Drosophila melanogaster: one gene and its partners. The protein of the gene in region 1 interacts with the protein of each later gene in a pairwise test. Each region holds a gene or a part of one and is shown in the gene's direction. Other genes may lie near its edges. The genes, in order: CG13067, CG15865, CG43894 and CG13022.

Region 1 (5,101 bases):
TGATTAAACTTTATCTCGCTCCTCCGCAGATTGCCAGCTTTCAGTAGTCCAGCGCAATAGTGATAACATATTGTCGGTCTGCACTTTGTTTTGTTTATACTTTTATAATGCACTACATTATAACGGTCATTTCAAGACGTGATCTCATAAATGCATTTAATAATAGAAAAAGGTTTTAAAACGAATATATAAAATTTGGGTATCTTACGATATCTTTCTAAATATTGTCATTATATCAATTTTGGTAATATGTTTATACATATGTCGTGTAGCTAGACATTCTTCTGCTTCTGGTTTTCAAGATTAGAAGTATATGTGGTTAATTGAGTACAGGGTATTCCGAGGTCGTCCTCTCCCCAAAAGAACTTGCCCTGTAGGAACCCCTACATGTCTGGCTTCATTTTGCTTCAGAGATATAAGCCCATACAGGCACGTTTCGATTGTGAATGGACTGGTAAGCTGAGCTTGACTCTTATTAAAAGCTGTCTGCTAACTTTAGAGCCTCAGTTATCTGGCGACCCCCTCGAAACTGCATCTTGCCATGCAGTTTGTTGACCTTACGATGCGAATGTAAACGTAACTGGCGTTTTTTGGCTCGTGTGTGAGATTGACCGCATTGCATCAGTCAAGCGGATTAGATTTTGGCCGAAACAAAGAACGGGCACGATGACATGGTTTTGATTGCATAAAGACCATTGCAGCCGACGGACGTAACCCTGAAACAATGCGCTCGCAATCGGATTGAAGCGTGCAATTCCATTTCATTGATTCCTGGCCAACTCTTGGCGCAGGAGGTTACTCATCGGCAATTAGCCGTGTCTGGTGGCATCAATCACATCGGGCTACTGGTCACCTTCGCGGCGACATCTTTTATGGGCCCACAATGCGGACGTGCCCGAAATAATGAATGGGTTTGGTCTTGCATTCAGATTCGGATTCGGATTCGGATTGGAATCGACCTCCGCGGGCGGCGGGAACGTAGCCAAACGGCCAATTGAGCTACTGAAAGGCCGCTCTGCATTCCCATGCAGGTGGTATAGAATCATTCGCCCCATTATCGTGTGTGCCCAGAAAGTCAAAAGCATCTATGCGATTTCCCGGTGCTATAAAAGTTGCATGTCGGATCGAATCAAGTCATAGTCCAATTTGCTAGCTCAAATCAAACTAAACTAAACCATCATGTTCAAGCTGGTGAGTTGGTGGTTTCTCCATATGGATACAGATATCTGGAGTATTATATTAACTGGTTATTTCCGTACAGTCTGCCCTCGTTGTCCTGTGCGCTCTGGTGGCCTGCTCCTCGGCTGAGCCCAAGCCCGCTATCCTGGCCGCCGCTCCAGTGGTTGCAGCTGCTCCTGCCGGCGTGGTCACCGCTACCAGTTCGCAGTACGTGGCCCGCAACTTCAACGGTGTGGCTGCTGCTCCAGTTGTTGCCGCTGCCTACACCGCTCCAGTTGCCGCCGCTGCCTATACCGCTCCAGTTGCCGCCGCTGCTTATACCGCTCCAGTTGCCGCTGCCTACTCTGCTTATCCGTATGCCGCCTACCCTTACAGCGCTGCATACACCACTGTTTTGTAAAACGGATTAACAAGTATTCAAAACGGATTTGAAATGGAATAAAAATAGACCCGACTGGCAATAAAACAAATCAAACTAAAAGCTTAAAAATATTATTCTGGAAATGGGAACACCAAGTTCTGTTTTTCAATAGCAAAAAAGCTATAGTTATATATTATTAATACTTTTTAATGGATTTTCTACTATTAATTATTATTTCTCAATCTTTTGGCGGCAACAAAAGTTCTTGATAGTATTTAAAAAGAAAGTCACCTAAACATATACGTTTTTTATAATTAATATTTTTTTACTGTCACCTTTTCTAAACCTTTTGTTCTGGCAGCGTCTGTTCTGCCCACTTAAAATGCGGAAATGTAGCCCGAAAAAATACCAATTCAGTTGCGTCATCATCCATTGACAAATCACAGATGGCAAAAGTGATAGATTTCTCGAAATGTATAGGTAACCGGCATCTCTGGTAGGAGAATCACGTGTTGGCCATTTAAAAATTGCCGACTGAAAGTTGCGTCAACCCGAATAAATAATTATGCATGTGCGTGTCTAAAAATATATTTCTGGCTTAAAGCGGGCAATAACGAGTAAAATAGCAACCATAACAGGGAAAGGATTCAACAGGAGGGACAACAGTGTCCTTTGACCACCTTATGGCCAGTGGGAGGACGCTCCCCTAGGCAGCCACTATGTGGACGGGAATGGAGTTGCTGTAGCGTCCGAATGGCAGCCACGCAGCTGGGTAGAACAAAGGATAGCTCGGCGGCGGTGCAGAGCCCACAAGTGGTGGTGGCCCCAGTGGTGGTGGGGGAACAGCAGCTCCAGCTGCCTGGCGGGGCGGTGGTGGAGCAGCCCGATGGGCAGGCGGCACATCGATCTCCTCGGCAGCATCCTGGATCTGACCCGCGGCCGCCAGGTGGATCAGAAGGAGGAGCACCACCTGAAATGGCCACCGATGGCGAGGCCTCATCATCTTTGAGCAAGTGCATCGACTTCTCGGCGGATAACCGCTTGAGACTTACTAATTTCCTGTACATAGCTAATCCGAGCTGATAAGATCTGATAGCTCAACGTTCTGAAAACGAAATAAACATGACTGGAGCGACAGAACCCAGCTTTATAAATTTCTGAACCCAACCCGGCAGTTTTTGTGGGTCATTTCCAGACTTGCCGATGGATGGATCAATATCCAGCTACGTTTTAGTATGCAAAACACGGACTCACATTCGATTTGTTTTTCGCTTTTCGTCACGCTTTTAAAAATACCAAACGAAACCAAAAGTGCAAAGCCATAATGCTCAAGATTCTCCTTGGCTGGCTTCAAAATGGACTTGGAACCGATCTGGGAATGGATGTGCATACCAATGGCCACGCATCACCTTCGCTTCAATGTGGGGAATTGGAATGGAATTTTCTCGACCGATTCTGCTATATATACCCGAGTACTCGGGCACTAGGAGATATCAGTCTAGTACTTGAGAACCAACAGTTCACAACCAACCCAAACAGCCAACATGTTCAAATACGTAAGGATCGCAGGATAGCTGGACTTGCCACCAAACAACGGATTACTCATAAGCACTTTTCCTATCCTTTCAGTTCGCTCTGTGCCTGTTCGCCATCGTGGCCTGCGTCTCTGCCAAGCCGGCGGTGCTCGCTTCTCCTCTGGCCTACAGCGCCTACTCCGCTCCCTATGTGGCAGCTGCTCCTTACTCGGCTGCCTACACCGCGGCATACACCGCTCCAGTGGCCGCCGCCTACTCCGCCTACACGTACCCCTATGCGTCCGCCTACTCCGCCTACCCCTATGCCGCCTACTACCGTTAAGACTGGATGAATGGATCGTGATCTTAACCTGACTGCTGAACTGGACCTGAATATAAACATATACACATCTATTGCAACAAGGATACACACCTTCCTGCTAACCACCTGCAACATCCAATCTTCTTACATCCCTGGTGTTAGTTCGACAGACTCTACATTTCCCCACCTCTGCCGACTGCTGAAAGTTAAGTCATGGGAACAGGACATACCACTTCAAGAAAGGGAATATTTTTGTTGAAATAAATACTGCATTTTGCGTAAAACGTATACCACTTGTTCATAATTTATTGCATCACTTATTCATCTCTAATGTGAAGGGAGTATGTATAATCACATACTTTTAGGCAGTACTCTTTTGCAATGGGTACTAAGTACTAAATTTGGTATACATTAAAATCCAATGGAAATATTATTTATAAAGTAGGTGATATCATATTTTCAGTAAATATTTCTCACACTAGTTTCATAAATTGCTAGCCCCTACATTTTTTAATTTTGGTGGGCTGGAAGGAATCAATGACTTTTTTAAGCTTTGTATCAATAAATTGCTTTGATACATTGGAAATTATTTTTTGGACTTAAAACCTATTATTTGTTAAAAAAAAAGGAAGTGTAAAGGAGGTTGTGTTCTTCGTGGTGGAATGTCCATGTTTGCATTGGATTAATAGGGTCAACGAGACCTCCGGTTTATTGAACTCGCGATTCCATTTATGCAAAGCTTTCGATTCCCTGTTTCTGGTGTCCTCAACCTTAAGCCAAGGGCTCAACTCGATGACGTCCTTCGAAACTGGATAAACCGCTTCTATTTTTACTTGCATCTCTGATTAGAATGCAAAGTGGCGTGTTCGAGTGGCTGACAATTGAAACGTACAGAGTGAGCCGAACTCCGGAGATGGCCAAGACGGTTGGAATGACACGCACGTTCACAGCCCACAAAACGCACTGAGTGCTAAATTATGATAATTCAATCGGCAAACGACAGCTGCTGACGCCAGTTGCGGAAATGCTCAAGATGAGCGGGAAAAAACATTCATTTTCAATAATAAATTCACAAGGAATGCGTACTATTCGCAGGCATATCGACAAACACAAATCTGCAACATTATAATTGTGCCAGTAAAAAGAGACCAAATGTTTGGCCCTGTTTTAGCCCTGGTACGTGATGGAAATGCTTTAAACTTGCTGGGTTTTTGCTTTTTCAATGGGCTTTGTCAAGGATGCTATGTATATTTACCTATATAAACCACTTCGAACTCAGCACAAGACATCAATCAGAAGTCTAACTTCGACGCTAACACAACCAAATCAATTAAAATGATGAAATTCGTAAGTTTCCAACATTTTTTTAAGGATACAATGTTTCAAAAATGCAACAATTCACAATCCTAAATACAAACAAAAACGCGTGTGTTCGAAATAAAACTATTATCAAACAGTGTAGATTTTTCAAACAATTTTTTATATTTATAAAACTTCTTGTAAATGTGTATTTTAATGTACTTTTTGTATGCATTTTATCCTGCAGTTTGCCGTTGTCCTGTGCGCCCTGTTCGCCGCCGCTGCTGCCAATCCTGGTCTGCTGGCCTACAATGCCCCTCTGGCCTACTCCACTCCACTGGCGTACAGCTCCCTGCCCGCTGCCGCACCCCTCGCCTACACCGCCGCCTACACCCCTGCCTACGCCCCCTACGTGGCCCCCTATGC
Region 2 (8,287 bases), on another chromosome or scaffold:
GGGCAGCAGATCCTGTGATGCCTCCGACGCCAATGGACTCTGTTTGGGGCGCACATTCTGCCCGAAGCCGGGCTGCACCAACACTTGGCCATCGACGAAGGCCACCTCGCCGCGAAGAACCACCCGGTGGACGCGTCCCTTGACCTTGGTGCCCTCAAATGGTGTCCAGCCGGACTTGCTCTTCATCTCATTGCCCGTTATGGTCCACTCCTCGTCGAGATCCACCTCCACGTAGGTCTGCGCCTGATCCGGCAGGTTGAAGATGATTTTTGGATTGCGATGGAACTTCCTCTTGATGTCCTCCATCGTCAAACGACCCTCGTGAACAGCCTGCAGGAGGAGCGGCAGAATGGTCTCCACGCCCGGAAATCCAGGCGGTGGACGCTCCGAACGTTTCTCGGCCAGTGTGTGTGGCGCGTGATCGGTGGCAAATACATCGATGTAATCAATATTCTCCCACAGAGCCTCTTGATCCTCCGGTGAGCAGAGCAATGGCCTTACCTCGGACATTCCGTGACCCAAACGCTCCACATCCTTGGTGCTGAGGAACAAGTGATGGGGGCACACCTCGCAGGTCACCTTGACGCCCTTTTCCTTGGCGGAACGAATCAATTGGATCTCCTCCTTTCGCGCCACATGGCAGATGTGAACCGAACGGTCGAGAAGATGGGCCAGCATAATCACAGCCGCTGTGCTCTGCCTCTCCGCATGACAAACGATGGGAGACCGCTTGGGCCAGTGGCTGAGATGCCTCTGCCAGCTGGTCATGTCGCTCAGTTTTAGGGTGCCGAAAGTGTCGTTTAAGTACATCTTAAGGCCACACGCATGACTGGCCAGCTCGTTGACCTGCGCCCAATTGTCATCCGAGGCCCCCACATACAGGGCATAGTCGCATCGAGCTCCCGCTTTGGCCAGCTCCTGGAACTGGGTGAACGTCTCTCTGTCCACGATCGAGGGATTTGTATTGGGCATGGCGCACACGAGGGTCACGCCGCCAGCCAGAGCGGCTGCTGTTCCACTGGCAAAGTCCTCCTTGTGCGTGGCTCCCGGCTCCCGCAAATGCACATGCACATCGATGAAGCCCGGCAGCTTCACAATTCTACGCGAGGTCATACAATCCGTGTGCGTCTTCATTGGCGGCTTGCCACCGTTCATTCGCATTGATTCTACCAGAAGCTTGGTGCACTTCACATCGGTCACCAGCGGAATGGAGTAGTCCACGGCCAGGCGACGGGTGCGGTAGCCATGGGTCATGAACGAGGAGACCCTGGAATAGTATCAGGAAATCACATTTACTTGGAGATACATATGTACATATAATCAAAAGGCACTGCCTTAAAACTAACAACTATTAATTCTTCAACTAATTGCTCTAATTTTAAAAATAAGAGAATAGCTTGCGTAAAAACACACGGATAAACTGACATACGGACATGACAAGATATACTTTTTAGGTTTGGAACTGTCTTCAATTTTATAAAAAACACTAAAAATATATCGTTCGGATATCAGTTTTACTCCACACAAACGAAAATTCTTTGCACTCAGTTATAAGTACTTTGCACTCCAATTGGACTTTAAAGAAAATATAAATAACATTTAAGATGTCTGAGCCAGATAAGAAATGGAATTAAGACAAGCCCTTTTTATAACTTAATAACTTAAATTATATGCCAAATTGTTGTGCAAACTGTGTTCAAGGCCCAAAAATTCCAGTGACTAACATTTGTTTGAATATTGAATCATTAAGTCGTTAATACCCCTGAAAACAGAACTTTTATCAAAGTAGGTTAGCTATATAAATATGCATATCCGCTACAAGAAATATGTTATATATGTTTTATAGGTAAACACAATTAGAAAACAAATACTATTCGCACTTGCAGACTTCTTCCTGAAGTTCCATGGATCACCAACTTAGTGGCATATATATTTGGGGGCCATTAAAAAGAGTCACCATCGAATCGTACTCACCGCCTGGCACCCCCGCCGCTCATCGGGAGGTTGATGACCAGGTCGAACTGCTTGTTGGCCAGGAACTCGGCCAGGTGTCTCAGCTCACCGTTGATGTCATCGGGAGTCGTCTTGTCGAATGTCCACTGCACGGATTCCACCTGCAAGGGCAAAAGCACACATATATACAATATTTACTCGTACATAGACATAGATCATATACAATGGTATATATATATATATATATATATAGAGAATGCGACCGACCGATCATCACCAAGGCCACATGTCATCGTCATCCGCGCCACCAACTCTACTTCCAATCAATTGTTTGCCCAGAGTACACCATATAGATACCATTATTTATGGATCTTTCATGTCTACATCGAAGACAATAGAGCAACAGGCCATGGCAATGGCACAGTGGTGCAGATATGTACGATCTTACACAATAATTCCAAATAAATCGAACTTTGAACATTTGATATGTGAATAGTGGTAATAAGATATATTCAATCGAACTAAGAGTGCAATCAGAAGAAAATCTTAAGTTACTATTTTAAGATAAGAATTCAATAGATCAATTTTTATATTATATTTCCTTTGAAGACCATCTATTTTAGACGCCTCCTTGAGTTTTTTGTCTGTTTGTGCGGCACAGTGAAGTGGAAATCAATTCCGTTTTCATGGAAGCACCAGGAACTGGCTGATAATGGATAATTGGGCCGAAGGAGGTGGTGGCCGGAAGAGTCGTTCAGCTCTTATCTTTCCGATTGCCATTACTAGATCGCAGATCGCAGGTAATTGGTAATTGGTGATTGGTGAACTCCGATCGCAGATTGTACACTTTATCAGCCGGAATTCAGTCACAAATCAGCGATCGTCCGTTGAGTATGGGCTGCTCCTGGTCGCGATCCGAGCAGGTGGATTCCAGTGCCACGCCCAATGCCCTGCAGGCGGGCATTCCCGCCCAGCGCCAACAGAGGAGGCGGCGCCAAGAGGAGAAGCATCTCCGCCAGCTGCAGAAGCTCCAAAAGCGTAACGCGCGTAAACGTCGCCGAAAGAAGGGCGCAGGATCTGGATCTGCCAGCGCCGGAGGATCTTTCCTCGGTCGTGGTGGATCGATTCACAGACGACACATCAACGGAAAAAGCCATCCTGATCTCGCCCTGCAACTGCGTCTACTGGGCGGCAGCAATGGAAGCACGGCCACCGAATGTGTCAGTGCCCTGTATGCCAGAACATTGGAGCAGCAGCGCGAGGAGTTCCAGCGGACCGTGGAGCAGAGGACCCTACACCAATTGGACCGCGAACTGCACACCTTCCTGCTGAACCAATTGCTTCTGGGTATCCAGTTCTTTGGGCACTTCGAGGCCGAGATGGCCGTGGTCGATGCCCAAATCGTGGCCAGGCGACGCAACTGCTCCGCCGAAAAGCTGGCCGAGCACAGCTTGCTCCAAAGTAGCGCCATCGATGCAGCTGTCGCCAGGAACCTGCTCTTCAAGCCGCCGTAAGTCTTTTCCTTATCCTCTCTCCATACTTTCTAGATTTTTCTATACTTTTTTGCCTACATTTTATGATCTTCTCTTTTTTCATTTTAAAATTGGTTTTTAATATATGTATTTATAACCGATTTCAGATCTTCGAAGAGTCCACCACAGCTGCTGCAGAAACCCGTGACCTATGTGGTCTTTGAGAACGTTGACGTGGCGCGACCCCACGATGCCAACTACGACACCGTGGCGGCACTGTGCAAGGTGCTCCTGGAGACGGACTACTACCGGACCACGCCCTGCCCCTCGGAGCTAGTCAACTTGATGGAGATGACCAGGTGGATGGGCTATGTTCGCCTCAAGCTGCGCGACCAATTGCCGCATCCGCAGGCGGGCACGCCCACTAGCTCCAGCTTATCTTTGCCGGCCAGCAGCGATGAGGAATGCATCTACGGTGATGTGGGATCCTCCGCATCCAACTCCCCATCCTCGGGCTACAGTTCGGGGGACTACGATTATGTCTACTTGGCCAGGTTGAATACTCCGCGACCGCTGGAGGAGCTGCGATTTGATCGCGATTTCAATTTCCAGAGGAATGTCCTACCTGGGAATTGCATTCGCCGTTTGGCCAATTGTCTGCCTCCTTGGCTAGAGCAAACCGACGACGAGGAGTCATCCTCCGCCGCCTCCAGCAGTGACGAGGACGAGAAGGATGAGGCGAATTCCGATAATCGCAAATATCCACCGGCTGGCTATGAAACGGTGGAGGTGCTTCGCCAGTGTCATGTGGAGCAACTGCAGCAGTGCTACCTCAGTTCGCAGCAGTTCATGTTGTACTTTGGAGAGGTGCTGCGTCATCATTTGGCTAACCAATTGGGCATCAGCCAATCGCAGCTGGCCGCGTGTTCGTATCGCGGCTGTAGTGTATATACCGCTCGCGAGGAGCTGGTGCCCGCCATTCATGTGCCCAATTCCTGGCCGGATTGCGCCTTCGAGTTTTGGCTGAGGGCTCGTCCTCGTTTGACCAACCTCCATACTGCCGAACAATTCCAATGGCCAACGGAGCAGATGAAAAAACGTATTCGATCCATGGGCTTCCATGTTGTACCAGTGGGCTATGCACCAAAGCGTTCGCGAAATCCCTTCAGGGAACTGGAATGGCGCATTGTCTTTCCCCAGGCGGAACAGTTTCTCGAGCGGCACTGCCTGACGCCCATGCAATTGAAGGTGTTCCAACTAATGAAGCTGCTGGTCAAAACCTTTGTGGACGAATCAACCACATCCTGTGACCAATCCCCGGGAGCTTTGCTCGAACAGCTGAGAGCCCATATGTTTTGGCAATGTGAGCAGCACAGCAATGATTGGCCAGAGGAGTTTCTGGGCGAGCGATTGGTTCGATTCATTCGCTCCTTCGACGCCTGTTTGGCCAAGAAACACCTGAGCGACTACTTCATTGAGCGGCGCAATCTATTCGAGCATATCCCAGAGGATACGCTGATGAAGCTGCGCAGCATAATGGCCGGAATTGCGGAACAACCGCTGCTGCATGTCATCCAGGCACTGAGGAATCTTCAGCACGCGCCGGAATTCTACCCGCAACTGGAGTACAAGCGACTGTTGGAGAATCTCTTTAGCCAGGATTACCTGGAGCTGCACGGACGGGGCAAGTTCTCGCGTCCACGTCAGGGATTTCCCGCTCTGCAGAACTGTGAAGAAAACAATGGCGGGCAGCAGGTGGAAACGAAAAAAAAAACCGAAAGGACGGAGATCACCGATGCCAAGGGACTCTTGGGATTGGCTCAGCACCAGGAGCGCTCGAGAGGAAAGCTGCGCAGGAAGACACAGCTCTTAAGGGCCACGACTCAGCAATTTCAAATCTCGGCGACGGAACAAAGACGTTGCTCGCTCGACTCCCTGGATCGCCAATTGCTATTGGCACGCTCCAATCCGGAAAGTTCCAAGAGCCAGGAAGCAGCGAAACCGCAACTGAACAACGGCTTGGAGATCCTGCGAAGGAGCAATCTGATCGAACTTCTGCTGGATCATTCGCTGGCCATGTTGGCTCGTGCCATTCGGTTTGGCAACCGTGGACATGCACAGCTTTATCTGGAGCATGGGCAAAGATTGTGCCGCCTTTATCAGCACCTCGGTTGCTCGCAGCAGGCACAGCACTTCGTCCAGGAACTACAGAACGCAGCCAGCGATATGGAACGCATGTGTGAATCGCATATACCAACGTCATCGGGCGGCAGTCCCTCCACGGTGGTTGAATCTCCGCCAGCGCCAAGGAAATCCATCAAGTTCCAGGAGCATGTCGTGCAGATACACACTCCAGAACCGCTGGCCATGCAGAAGCATATGCCCCATCTGGAAAACCATCAGCTCAATGGGATTCTAAGAGCTCACCACCAAGAGGATGCGAACGCCATTGAACCCCTACAGGAGGAGGAGATCAAGAGCGCGTTGCTTCGGGAAATAGAAAGTCGCATAGAAGAAAAACCCAATGTCCAAAGAGATAGAGAACCAATAGATTCTCCTGAAGTGGATAGCCTTAAGCCGCAAACGGGAATCAAATCAAAATCGGAGGAAACAGCCAAGGAGGAATCATTTCTCTCGCTAAACGGAATCCTTCAAAGGCTCTCCCTCGACACGGATAAGGTGCAAATGCTGGGCAGCAAAACGGAGCAACTGGTCCAAAGAGTAGCCCCATCCGAGGCCAAGCGGGATGAACTCAAGGAGATCCTCAAGCGCAACGCACAGAAGCTCAAGGGCGCATTCAACTAGAGACACTAAAGATAATACTACCATATAGTAGCCAAATTGCTAAATCCCGGCGATTAGTGATATATTGATATATTGATAACAGATAAACCAGTTGTGATAAGGGCGGTTAGAGATAGAGATAGAAATATATATATAGTTATGGGCCATAATTATTGTCCATACCATGTGCGCCATATATATTTTCGTAATTAGTAATCTTGAAATCAACGTAATTTCTCTATGATAATAATGTTATTGAATTTGTAAACCAATGTCATGGAAAATAAATAATGCAATATAAACAACCGTTCAATTTGTAAACCAAGTCAGGGAAAACAAATAGTAGGAAATGAGTATTGAAACTACTCAACTTTGTTGACTCGCATCTCCAATGGATTTTGATTAAAGTTGCATGATATACAATAAGCACACAGACATAAATATACTCACATTAACTCCGTGTTCGGCATAAAAGTCGCCAGTGCCCATGGAAGCGTATAGCTTGTAACCCATCTTGGCCAGATCCCGTATGGAAGGCAGCAGCTCCATCTTGTGCTGCAGATGAATGGAGTTATTAATGGAGTAACTAATATCAATAATCAATGGAGTGGCCAACAAACCTTGAAACTGCCAATGGAGAGAAGTACGGCGTTCTTGGGTATCTGGAAGCCCGTGGACATCATGGCCTTGAGATACGCCTCATAGCGGTTGTCCCCGAAGCAGGCAACCTCACCGGTGGAGGCCATCTCGACGCCCAGCTGTACATCCGCGCCCGCGAGCCGCGAGAAACTGAACTGTGGCACCTTGACGCCCACCTTGCCGACGCCATGGAGCACATCCAGTGGCTCCACATCGAGTCCCACAATCGCACGCGTCGCCGTGGCCACAAAGTCGTGGTCCAGCGTCTTGGAGACGAAGGGGAAGGATCGCGACACACGGACATTGCATTCGATGACCTTCAGCTCGTTGTTCTTGGCAATTAGCTGCATGTTGAAGGGACCGGTGACATCCAGTACGCTGGCCAAATCGCATGTGATCCGTTTAATGGCCTCCAGGGTCTCCGCATTCAGATCCTGCGGTGGGGTAACCAGCGTGGCATCACCTGAATGCACTCCGGCATTCTCCACGTGCTCCGAAACAGCCATGCACAGGATGCGTCCATCGGATGCCACTGCATCCACATCGATCTCCTTGGCCTCGGTGAGGAACTTCGAAATGACAACCGGATGCTCGCGACTCACCTCGGAGGCGGCGTTCAGATATGTCTCCAGATCCTGATTGGAATAGGCCACATTCATGGCCGCACCGGAGAGCACATAGGATGGCCTAACCAGACAGGGATAGCCAACCTCCTCGCAAAATTCGATGGCCGACTGTAGGTTGGTCAGCTCCTTCCAGCGTGGCTGCAAGATACCCTTCCTGTCCAGCATGCGCGAGAATTTAAATCGATTTTCGGCACAGTCGATGGACTCCGGCGATGTGCCCAACACCTTCGCCTGCTGGCGATGCAGATCCATGGCTATATTGTTGGGCAGCTGGCCGCCCATGGACAGAATGATGCCCTCGCTATTCTCCATCTCGTAGATGTCCATGACCACCTCGAAGCTAATCTCCTCGAAATACAAGCGATCGCACATATCGTAGTCGGTGGAAACCGTTTCAGGATTGTAGTTAATCATGATGGTGGGTCGCTGTAGCTTCCTCAATTCGCGCAGGCAGCCCACGGCACACCAATCAAACTCCACTGAGGATCCGATACGATAGACGCCCGAGCCCACCACAATAGTGTGTCCGCCGGGGAAGTCCACATCGTGCTCGCTTCCGTTATATGTGTGGTACAGATAGTTGGTACTGGCGGGCCATTCGCCGGCCACCGTGTCGATCTGCTTGACATGCGGGCGGATGCCAAACTCCTGCCGCTGGTGACGAACAGCCAGCTCCGTGCTCTTAATGTACTTAGCTATCTGCTTGTCCGAAAAACCAAAACGCTTGGCCTTCAACAGCAGAGCGGCATCGGTTCGACTGCCATTACGGGTGAGCAGGGACTGCAGTAAGATGATCCTTTCCAGCTTTTCCAG
Region 3 (5,790 bases), 3.4 Mb from region 1:
GATACGCTCGCTATGAACTGACTCCGGCCAATGTGGCCTACCAAAAGGGTGTTGCTCAACCGGGCTATCTTCGAGGTGACTTCTATAGCGGCGAAGATGTCAATGTTCTATATGACCAATCACACCAGCTGGATGCATTTAGTACGGCCCTGGGATTAGATGCCAGTCAGTACTTTGACAGCACTAAGGATCTCTATTTGACCAGAGGACAGCTGGCAGCTCGTCTTGATTTCGTCCATAGTTCCGCCCAGAGAGCCACCCACTTTTATGTGAACGCAGTTCCTCAATGGAGAAGCATCAATATTGGAAATTGGCTTGCAGTGGAATCCAGTTTGAAGCAATTTGTGGCGGATGAGGCACTTAATGTGAGTGTACATGCCGGCAGCTATGATATCTCAACTCTACCCAATTCACAAGGTGTCCAGACACCTCTGTATCTGAATGCCGAGACCAAACAACTGCCAGTAGCTAAGATCCTCTATCGCATTGTTATCGATCAGGAAAGTCGCAAGGGAGTAGTTCTAATTGTGGTCAACAATCCACATATAACATTGACGGAGACCCTCGAGGATTATGTGATCTGTGAGGATGTGGGAGCGCAAATCGATTGGTTGGACTGGGACAAAGCAAACCTGCAGAAGGGCTACTCCTATGCGTGCTCTGTAGAAGATTTCATCGAAGTGGTTAAGGATTTGCCCACAGATCAACTGCAAACAACAGGAATTCTTGGTTTGACTGATCAAATCTTGGACAATGAAGTGTGCAGCTTTAAAGTGAACGGTGATCTTAAGGATCCGGCTCCTTTATTTGTAGTCAGGAGTGAATTGGGTCATGCGAGATATTTGGAACCGAATCAAGAAGGAGTAGTTCAGCTAAAACATGGAGAAGCCCTTGAGTTCCACTGCATCAATTCTTTCAGTGGACCCTTCTCTGGTTATACCTTCGTCAATTCAACATGCTGGCAACAGCAGAGCATCCTGGCAATGGGCAGTTTGTATCAGCTGCAGGACTTTGTCTGCACTTCCTGGCCAACATACACTGCTCGTCGCTCTGGTCGTCCCTGCAATGGTGGTACTGATCTGCTTGAAGTGGGCTTTCAGCTGTCATCCTCCTCGAGCGACGACTTCCTGCAGACCTATGACGTGTGTCACGATGAACTGAGCGAAGTCACCCGCTATGTGCATCATGTTTTGTACCCCGGAAGTGACCAATATCAGCGATCTGTATCCAGGCCATCCTTTATACCCGGCGACTTTTACGGAGGCAAGGATGTGAACACTTTGTACACCCAAGTTCAACAGAATATCACGGTTTCCGAGATTTTGGGCATGGATGCCTCACCATACTTCAACACCACTGGTAATGTCTATCTGGCTCGGGGTCACCTTTCTGCAAAGACCGACTTTGTCTTTGGGGCCGCTCAAAAGGCGAGCTTCTTCTTTGTGAATGCGGCACCTCAGTGGCAGACCTTTAATGGCGGAAACTGGGAACGAATCGAGGACAGTGTGAGAAAGTTTGTGGCGGATGAAAACATCACAGTGGATTGCTATACGGGCACATGGGGTGTGTCCACCCTGCCGGATGTAAATGGCATTGGAAGGGAGCTCTATTTGGACTTTGATGAAAACAACAATGGTCTGATTCCAGTGCCAAAGTTGTACTTCCGCGTGATTATCGATCGCGAGAGCAGAAATGGCATCGTGCTACTTGGAGTTAACAACCCACATGCCACCATTGAGCAAATCGAAGAGGAGTACATCATCTGCCAGGATATTGGCGCCCAACTGAGTTGGGTCAGTTGGACCAAAGAGGACCTAAAGAAGGGCTATTCATATGCCTGTACTGTGGAGGACTTTACTGCAGTGGTGAAAGACCTACCTTTACAAGACCTGTTTGTCGATGGAGTCCTGGGTGTTTAATATCAGATTTTGTGGGTGTGCAATTTCCAAAAAAAAAAACGAATTTCTTAATTTAAAACCAATAAAAAGACTATCTTAAAGAAAACAGGTTTTTATTGAAGGGTAGCCCTTAGGAAAATGCTTAAAGGCACGTTTAAATTAAGTTCTCATGGGCCATAAAACAGTGAAATCACGTTTAGCTTTTGTTCTCTTTGGAGTTTATTGCATGTTGGACATATTGATAAGAGTAAGGTTATCAAATGCTTGACGTTATCGTTTATGGCCGGGGTAGAGCTATTTATTTACCCAGCCATTGGATTATTTGCTCACGTGCCGCACGTTTCCAAAAGCCTTAATTTTTTCTGCTGTTCCAGTAGCCCAAGAGGCAGTCCCTTGGCCCGAATCGAAGTCCCAATGGCAGTGACTTTCACATTTTCTTATCGAAGCTAAGGAAATACCTTGTATTACTTGTGCGGTTCCCTTTGTTTATCTTATCGCAACACAATCGTCGCAGAACGTATGAAGTATACGCCTGCTTGGTTAATAATTATAATGGACTTTTTAGGGGGTAAACAAAAGGCAAAAACCGTAAATGAAGCAGATAGAAACCAAAATTGATTTATATTGGTCGAGTAATCATTCACTTAGAATTGTTGCGGATTCAACAATGCGGTTAAACTTCGTTTTAATTAATCAGTAATATCTATCAAGGCTGAAAGTGTGTGTTATTTTGTTAAGCAATGTTTATTTACCCCTGTTCAAGGCGTAGTTCAGAGACCGTTTAATAGATAGTTCTATTCGGCTAACCTACTGCTGAAATATTTAGGCAGTAACTTATTAATCGTGTAAGTTTTAATGTACTGCATTTAAACAGCCATACAAAAATATTCAATTAGCGCTGTTTAATGAACTTTTATTTATGTTAGAAAGAGTCAGAACAATAATCATCATATTTCGGTGATTTAATTTTGCAAATAATCATTACCGCAACTCATCAACCATGAAATATCAAAATGATATAAATATGAGGGATTTAGGGAAATGAATTTAGTTAGTTTCGGAATTTTACAAGAGAAAATGGAACTTGTTGGTATATATTTGATATTAGCCACGACGATTGTTGTCCAAGGATACAGAAGTAAGTCAGCGAACAGGATAAGGGATAAAATCTAAAAAATTCCCCACTATCAATACAGAATTTGGACTTAGTTGTGAGGATATTGCCTGTATATCTGGTAAAAAATGCATTGTATCCAGAGTTCCCTGCGAAAACCCAAATCAGCAAGAAGGAGAACAATGTGGAACCTATCCGGAGTGCCAATCAGGTTCGTAAAATTTTGTTTTTTCATCGGTTCACACTGAAATCTGGTCCTTTTCAACTGATCCGTTTCAGATCAGCTGGCCAGCGATTTCATCATCGACACTACACAGACCACTGCCAACACCCGAAACAGCATCATCATACCCAGCACTTCCACGAGTCGCAATCGGAATAATAGGAACAGTGACTTTAAACTGCTGAGCGATTTCAGTAACTCCGATACATTTGCCACCCATGCAGGCCAACGGCAGGCTAATGTTTTGGTTATTGTTCAAGATGGTTCCCAGCAACCTCAACAGCCAAATCCTTGGCTAAATCGAGGACAAAGTCCTCCCTGTACCATCAGTCCGCTCTACCCATATTCCTGTACTTATCCCCGTTATCCGAATTCGGGAGCAGGATTGCCTTCTTATACGCAGCAGCGATCGGCCAATGGGCCACAATTAGTTCCTCCCACTCCACCATGCTACTATAACTGCTATCCCAGTGTGCGGTCAAGTTCATATGGTCAATATGGATACCCCCTGTCTAGATCAGCCAATCCCTCATCAACCAATAACTATTTAATCTACCTCACATTAGCTGGCTAAAAGACCAGGAGCTTTAGTTATGTGCAAATAATAAATATAGAATCTATTATCAACCTTTTTTTTTCGTTTCTATATCTTCGCCAGTTTTGCACCGTTTCCGGCGAACGCCACAAATGCCTTATCAGCCTGTGGGGATGCCAGCTTCAATGCCACCCGGGTATCCACCACCTCGCCCACCGTTTCAAATGCAGCAGCCGCGTCAAGTTGCACCACAATATGTGATTCCACCTCAGCCCAACCCACAGTACGCAATTCAATACCAGGCCAACCGGCAATATGCCATGCAAGGACAACCCAATTCGGCCAATCCTTGGCTCCACTTCTCAGTAGGGATGTCCTATCCAACGTATATGAACTATAATGGACGTTCCGCTGGGAACTCACTTCCATCATTTTACAATCCGTACCCACCCAGTTATAGTACCTATAATTACAATATTAACTTACCCTTTTCGGGTGGATCTTCCTAAGATCTTCGATACTGGTTAAAAAAAATTCAAAGCTACTCAGCACCGGATGGACTCCTTCCGAACATTATTTCATTACTTTCAAATTTGTCGTTCCTAAAATTAATAGCTAATACATATATTTGTCAGCTTCTCTGGGGGAAACGATGACGGATTCCGAAATGGATTCTGATGCAACACTACCACAATTTCACAATCGATCGGCACGTCAGATTCCAATGCGTCCCATGCCAGGACCAATGCCAATGCCAGGAGCGCTGCCGTATCCTGGTCCTGTTTCAATGAATGTACCATCTCCGGGGCGTGCGTATTATCCCTCGTATATGGGACAACCTTATATGGGACAACCGTACATGCCAGGTGCCATGCCCATGATGCCAATGATGCCCCAGGGAGGTGGAACTATGGGTGGTACCAGCATAATTGTGGAGCCCTTAATAATCCTGCCAATGGGCATTGGGGCAGGCACGGGTACGGGCGTGAATCCAAATTCATATTATGGATCGAATGGAGCTTATCCCACGTATAACAATTACAATCCCTACAATACGTACACTACTGCACGACCCAGCTACGACTATAACAATTATAACAACAACAATAATAACAATAACAACGATTACAACTCATATGGTTAGATTTCAATTAAATGATCCCCGAAATCTACATGATCATTATTCATTTACAAATGAATCGAAAGCTGTCCAGGTATGAATATATTGTGTACATACATTGTTTGCCAGGTCATTTAACAATAGATTATTTTCGATTATTAAATAAGAAAAATGTCAAATATAATTGACGATTAATCTTGAATAAAATTATTGAGATACATCATTCGCGAGATAAATCACTTTTTGTTTTAGCTCTGTAAAGAAAGGGGATCGACAAAAGCAAAGAACTTAATGCGACCTAGACCTAAATACACATACATATGTATAAAGGTATATAGATAGAAAGAACTCGGAAGTACTCAAAAAATGCAAACAATCCAATGGTATTATATCTTTATTCTCAGAGAGATTACAAGACAAAGAAGCAAAACGAAAGAGAGAGCGAGAGAGAGAGAGAGATGTAAGATACAAGAGCACGAACTGAGAATATAAATAAAAACACCTGTTCACCAAACAAATAATTCAGTCGGCGGTTAGATAGCAACTTAACCGGTCGAGTTGAGTTTCCAACAAAATGATGCTTCAGTTTATCGGCCTAATTTTGGCGGTCGTGATTCTGCGAGAGATTCGGGCACGTGAGGCGATCGCAACCATTCCAGATGTGGGTCAGATAATCAAAGATCTCGATGGACTGCACATCGATGGAGAAATGTTTCATCAAGGTATGTGGTCGCCTAAAAGTTAATAACCATACGTTTATCCAAAGCAGACTGAGCTTTGTTTGAGTAGTTTGACTGTAGTGGTCACATTCGGAATGAAATATATGTACATTTTGGAATGCAAAAAGGTCTGATGTTTGTTTTTCTTAAAAAAAACTATATTGTAGAAACAATAACCTTA
Region 4 (5,069 bases), 670 kb from region 1:
CCTGAGTGTATTGGCCGCTGAGGAAGTGGCAGCACAAAGTGAGTTATCTCCCCTCGATGTCAGAGTTGAGCTCATATATCAGCGGTTGGCGGCAGGCGGCGGCCACTGAAGCGAAACCCAAACAAACGGAGGGGGATCCATGGAGTTGGAGCCGTTCTAACACATTGGACTGCTTTTTCTGGCGTTGCCTAAACGTTTTTCCATTACCGCTTCGGCGCTACTGTTGTTTTTTGCAATCTCCGGTAAATCGGGGGAAACAAAAAGCTGTTAACAAATTGACTGGCCTGAGAGATTCGAGCCAAAAAAAAAAGAGGAATGGATTGTAGATGGCAGATGCTCAACGATAGCGATGATTCTGAATGGGATCGTTCCCCGAGATGTGTAGTAATCGAAGTAATGGCGTGCCGGGCTAAGATCGAATCTATATTCAAAATTGCAGTGCAAGTCCGCTTCCGCTGAAAGGGTTTACCCAATCCCCACTCATTGTGTCGGTAGCTAATTAATCTCCCTCTATTTCCCACATAGATTTCGCGTGAACGGACCGAAAATCCATCGGAAAATGGACCTGGCTCAGTATCCGGTACTGCCGCGGGGAAGTCCGGACGATCCGCTGGCCGATCCCTTCGACGATCCATCCTACAGCTTTAGTTTTCGCACTCCGGATCAGTCGCGCAGCGAGGAGAATGATTCCGGGAATAGGATAAGAGGCGAGTTTAGCGAGTATGGTACTTAAGAGTATATTAACTGATTCTATCCCAGGTCTGTACTCCTATTTGGACGACGTGGGCGAGCGGCACAGTGTTCGTTATGCAGCTGGAGCCGGAACCGGATTCGAGATCTCCAACGCTGTGCCGGACAGCCCATCTGTTGTGGCGTACTCCAGTCCTCTGTACACGTCCCATCCCAAAGCACGCGGCAAGATGTCTGTGCAAAGGGGGCCGGCTGGAAGCTATAAGCTGATCGCCTCAGGTTCGGATCACCGACGGGCAGAAAGTCGAGCACCCGATGGCCTGGTGCGAGGAACCTACTCCTTCCTGGACGACAAGGGCGTGCAGCGGACAGTGGAGTATATAGCTGGAGCAGGAATTGGCTACCGGGTGGTGCAAAATCGGATTGGTCCTGGAACCCATAACAATCCCTCTGTGGCTGATTTTCGTTTGACAGATCCAGATTTCCGACTGGCTAATGATTTTGGCAGGGGTGCTGGTGGTGGCTTAGGTCCGAAGGGAGGTGGTGGTGGATCAGGTGGGGGAAGTGTTTCGGTAGGAGCTTCGGGGCCAAGTGGTGGTGCAGGTGGAGCGGGAAGGGGCCGTACTCCAAGCAGACCCGGAGGCAAAGATTACCTAAAGCCGGCTGATGGAGCAAGAGATAGGAATCGTGGAGATGGTGATGCTGGGGCAGCTGATGAAAATCTGGGACACCATGCTGATGACCAAGGGGATGACATTGGGCTTGGCAGCAGCTCCTCTGGTTCCACCAACTTTAATGGCAAAGAAGACAGAAGAGGGTTCCCTGCGGGTAGTCCGCAACGGGGCAGTACTAGATACGATGCCGGAGGTGACAGCTCTCAGAGAGGTGGTTCAGGTAGCTCCACGAGAAACAATGTTAGTGGGTCCCGAAACAGAAACCGATTCGGCGGCGTTGGTGGAGTAAGTGTCTCCTCTGAGCGGGGAGCAGGAAGGGGAGGTGCTGCCGGTGGTGGAAGCAGTCGTCGAGGAGGTGGAGCTGGAGCCTCCAGGGAAGGCGACTCCGGCCTGGGCTACCTGCCGCCCACAGGTGGATCGGGCACCAGTGCCATGAGCGGACCCGGGGACAATTACCACCTCAACGATGACGATGTGGGCAGTTCACTGCCTCCTCTGGTCACCGCCAACCACCGAATTCTAGAGATCGACAGGGATCGGGAGTGGGTGCAGCGACACCGCGACTCCACCGTCATCAAGAACGTGGGTAAATGGTACGTGGGCCTGCCGCCTGGTCAAAGTGTGCGTGCCCATGTCCAGAACATCGACATAATACCCTTGGGCGGAAGGATCGGACTTTCGCCGTCGGAGGCACTGCGTCAGGATGAGATCGCCGAGCTGAATGCCTCAAGGGAGCACTAAGCACCCATTGGATCTGTAGATCTGTAGTTTGTAGTGCGTAGCTCTAAGTGATCAGTGTTGAGTAACCGAAACTGGGTTGACTCCACATGGAAACTAAAACAGTATTTAAAGCGGAATACATTTTTTGCCTGTATCTGTATCTCAAACTGTATCTGTATCTCTAGCGAATAGTTATTTGATATCCGTGGATCCGGGTATAAGCAGGTTAATCTGCACATTGCGGTTTCCTTGAATCCACATATAACCCCATGACTTAGCATGCTCGGAGTTTAGTTGTTTCTGAGACTTGAACATGATGTTGGTGCTTTTCATTGCTTCGCTGATAGTTTCCTGTGCTCAAGGAGCGCAAGTGTATATGCAGTTCAATGGACAAGGATACTCCTACAACACGGATGGCGATAGATTGGATAGGAGTGTCGTTAAGCCTAGTTTTGGGGCATCTTCTCTGGATTCCTTTGGTCCGCTGAACTTTGTGCATCAATCTCTGAGGACAAGACAGAATCCACTTTCCCGGATTTCCTACAATACACAGGATAACCTAGCAGTGGCAACATCTTCGCTGAGTGCGGGCTACCAATTAGCATCGACCAACCACCTGAAGCACCGGCAAAGCCAGCAAAACTTTGATTTCAGCACCGACCAGATGTCGCATGCCCAGCACACCGATGAGGCGGGAAATGTTTTGGGCAAGTACTCCTACTACGATGAGGCTGGCTACCATGAGCTGAGCTACAAGGCGGGCGCCGGCATCGGATTCGTGGTCATGGGTGGCAATTTGGCCAAGGCCACCACCGCCGCTGAACCGCACTCGGAAATCGAAATCGGAAACGGAATCCAAACAAATGCCTTGACTAGCCTGCAAGAGTTGCATAAATATCGTGGCTACACGTAAATAAAATATATTAGCCAAAACTATTGCTCGTTCTACTTGGGTGTTTTGCGTTATTTACTGGAAGTCTTTGGAGATCTGACAGTGTCACCTGTCGTGTTTGAGACCTACGTGATCGGGGATCTGAACTGTAAACATATGTCAAAGAATGAATGACTTGTAAAACAGAGTTCATTCAAAGAAAAGAGTGCAGCTTTGCTTGGTTATAGAATGCAAGCAATAGTCAAATATTATCGAGAGCTCTGGATTTCATAACTTCTACGCGGCACAAAATTATCTTTGGATCGGAAGACATTATATTAACATTTATAAATAATGGTGAAATTAAAAAAAAAATGTACGTAAAAATAGATGTCCAAAAATGTATGAATTCTTTTTGTAATTGTAAATCTTGGAATATAATATTATGCTAAATAGGACGGTAGAAAGAATATTTTTCTTCATTTTAAAAAGAAACATAACTTGAGTTCCATAAAAGCGGTCATCGCATTAATAGAAAATTTTCTTGCCTGGACATAATTTTTAAACGTTTTACAATAAAAATGTTTGCATAAAGTAGATAAGGGTAAACATTGTCAGTTTCTGATCGTAAATGATTGTAAGAGCTTTAATTGCTTGTGGCGCGTGCTTTGGCACGATACAACTGCGGCGATTTATGCATGTTATAAACCCTAATTGATTTTCCGATCATAAAAATGGTTATATTCGGTCGCACAAAGTCATTTTACAAATGGACAGTGCATCCCAAAGCCAAATTGAGTCAGCTCTGTGGCTTATTTATTTTTGTTTGGGCAATTTCATGTCGGAAAGGGACCAAAATAATACAGCATTTGAAATGTTCGACGCGTGCGCGCACTTGCCAAATAATTTGAATCGAACGGAAAGCCTTGGCGTCCACGGCGTGGCCTAAATAAAATATATTTCTGGCCGCGCGAAGCCAAGAAAAGCCCATAAGCAATAATAATATGCATATTTGCTAAAACAAAAAGTTATTACATGGGCCAGTTTTGACCGAAAGTTTCACTGCCACAATTAAGTTTTAATGTCAAGAGATCTAAGCGAGTGATTTCCCTGAAACAAGTTCCTACGCACTCGAAAACTTTCTTCGCCGAATGCACTAAAAGAACGTACAGAAGAGCACTAAAAAGCTTGCCATAGCTTGACATAGATTCTATTCGGCCGGGTCTAGGGTTTGTATGGCTGAAATGGCCACGTTCTCAGCGTAGAAATCAATGGCTCACCTGGGAAGTAGCCGAGGTGCATAATTGGGTTAGCGTAGCAGCAGAACGGCCTGCATTGAAACCACAAATTACTGGGGCTCCGGCTCTCCCAGGTGCCAGTTAGCTGTTTCTGTTTATTTTCCCCCTCATAAACAACGGTTTGGGCTGGGATTCTCCTCCTCGCCGAAGGTCAGACTTAATTGGCCCGGGCCTAGGCAACGACATCCCACTAGCAGTCCCGTTTCGCCTGCATTTATAAATAGGCCCCAAGGTCTCTGGGTCTTGGGTCTTCGGTCTTCGGTCTTCGGTCTTCAACTTCTCGACTCGCTCTTCGGCTGCTTGGATTTCAGTTGGGGTTCGATTTATCGCCTTTTGATTGCTGCATTCCAATTGTGGATCAAGTGGTGCGTGTGGCGCATTCGGGGCTTACAACGTGTTGCTGCTAATTTCGTATGCTCCCTTCGGCTCTGCGCACTCGAAACCATAAATCTTGTGGCAATTTTATTGATGCCTGCGTGTGCCACAAAGGTCGACCCCCCGTTCGATGCTGCTTAATCAAGGAATATGCATTATTTCACAGCGCAGTCAGTAGCTGGCTGCTCGGGGCATAAAAGCCAATAAAAGAATAAATTGCAGTTGTATCACAGCAAAGTTAATCACAAAATTAATGGTTCTGGGCTAATAAAGACTGGTCTGCAATGAAAACAAATGACTTAAGGCACGAACCTGAAATCAATTTCTCTGATTTCAGACATTTGTTATTCATGATTATCGATCAAAAACGGTCCGAAGCTAAGTCTTAATCCTGACATCTGTTGATACCCGAGAAGTGTGTGAAGTCTTCACGCCGAAGTG

The links.
Region 2: the proteins of CG13067 (region 1) and CG15865 interact in a two-hybrid assay, tested with the Drosophila melanogaster proteins (one large-scale study listed by BioGRID).
Region 3: the proteins of CG13067 (region 1) and CG43894 interact in a two-hybrid assay, tested with the Drosophila melanogaster proteins (one large-scale study listed by BioGRID).
Region 4: the proteins of CG13067 (region 1) and CG13022 interact in a two-hybrid assay, tested with the Drosophila melanogaster proteins (one large-scale study listed by BioGRID).

The regions. Positions count from the first base shown.
Region 1 is NT_037436.4:16,268,256-16,273,356, forward strand, and holds CG13067 (uncharacterized protein), read left to right. Parts: upstream 1-3,026; 5' UTR 3,027-3,084; coding exon 3,085-3,096; intron 3,097-3,169; coding exon 3,170-3,397; 3' UTR 3,398-3,663; downstream 3,664-5,101. Other genes in the region: CG13068 (uncharacterized protein), read left to right, coding at 1,180-1,191, 1,262-1,579; CG34248 (uncharacterized protein), read right to left, coding at 2,247-2,543; CG13066 (uncharacterized protein), read left to right, coding at 4,712-4,723, 4,923-5,101.
Region 2 is NC_004354.4:16,659,015-16,667,301, reverse strand, and holds CG15865 (uncharacterized protein), read left to right. Parts: upstream 1-2,846; coding exon 2,847-3,463; intron 3,464-3,592; coding exon 3,593-6,230; 3' UTR 6,231-6,404; downstream 6,405-8,287. Other genes in the region: r (rudimentary), read right to left, coding at 1-1,267, 1,975-2,114, 6,660-6,764, 6,830-8,287.
Region 3 is NT_037436.4:12,887,249-12,893,038, forward strand, and holds CG43894 (uncharacterized protein), read left to right. Parts: upstream 1-2,521; 5' UTR 2,522-2,975; coding exon 2,976-3,036; intron 3,037-3,094; coding exon 3,095-3,223; intron 3,224-3,291; coding exon 3,292-3,809; 3' UTR 3,810-3,857; downstream 3,858-5,790. Other genes in the region: CG14120 (uncharacterized protein), read left to right, coding at 1-1,919; CG14118 (uncharacterized protein), read left to right, coding at 5,465-5,612.
Region 4 is NT_037436.4:16,936,274-16,941,342, reverse strand, and holds CG13022 (uncharacterized protein), read left to right. Parts: upstream 1-2,390; 5' UTR 2,391-2,400; coding exon 2,401-2,997; 3' UTR 2,998-3,013; downstream 3,014-5,069. Other genes in the region: Cpr73D (cuticular protein 73D), read left to right, coding at 526-707, 760-2,105.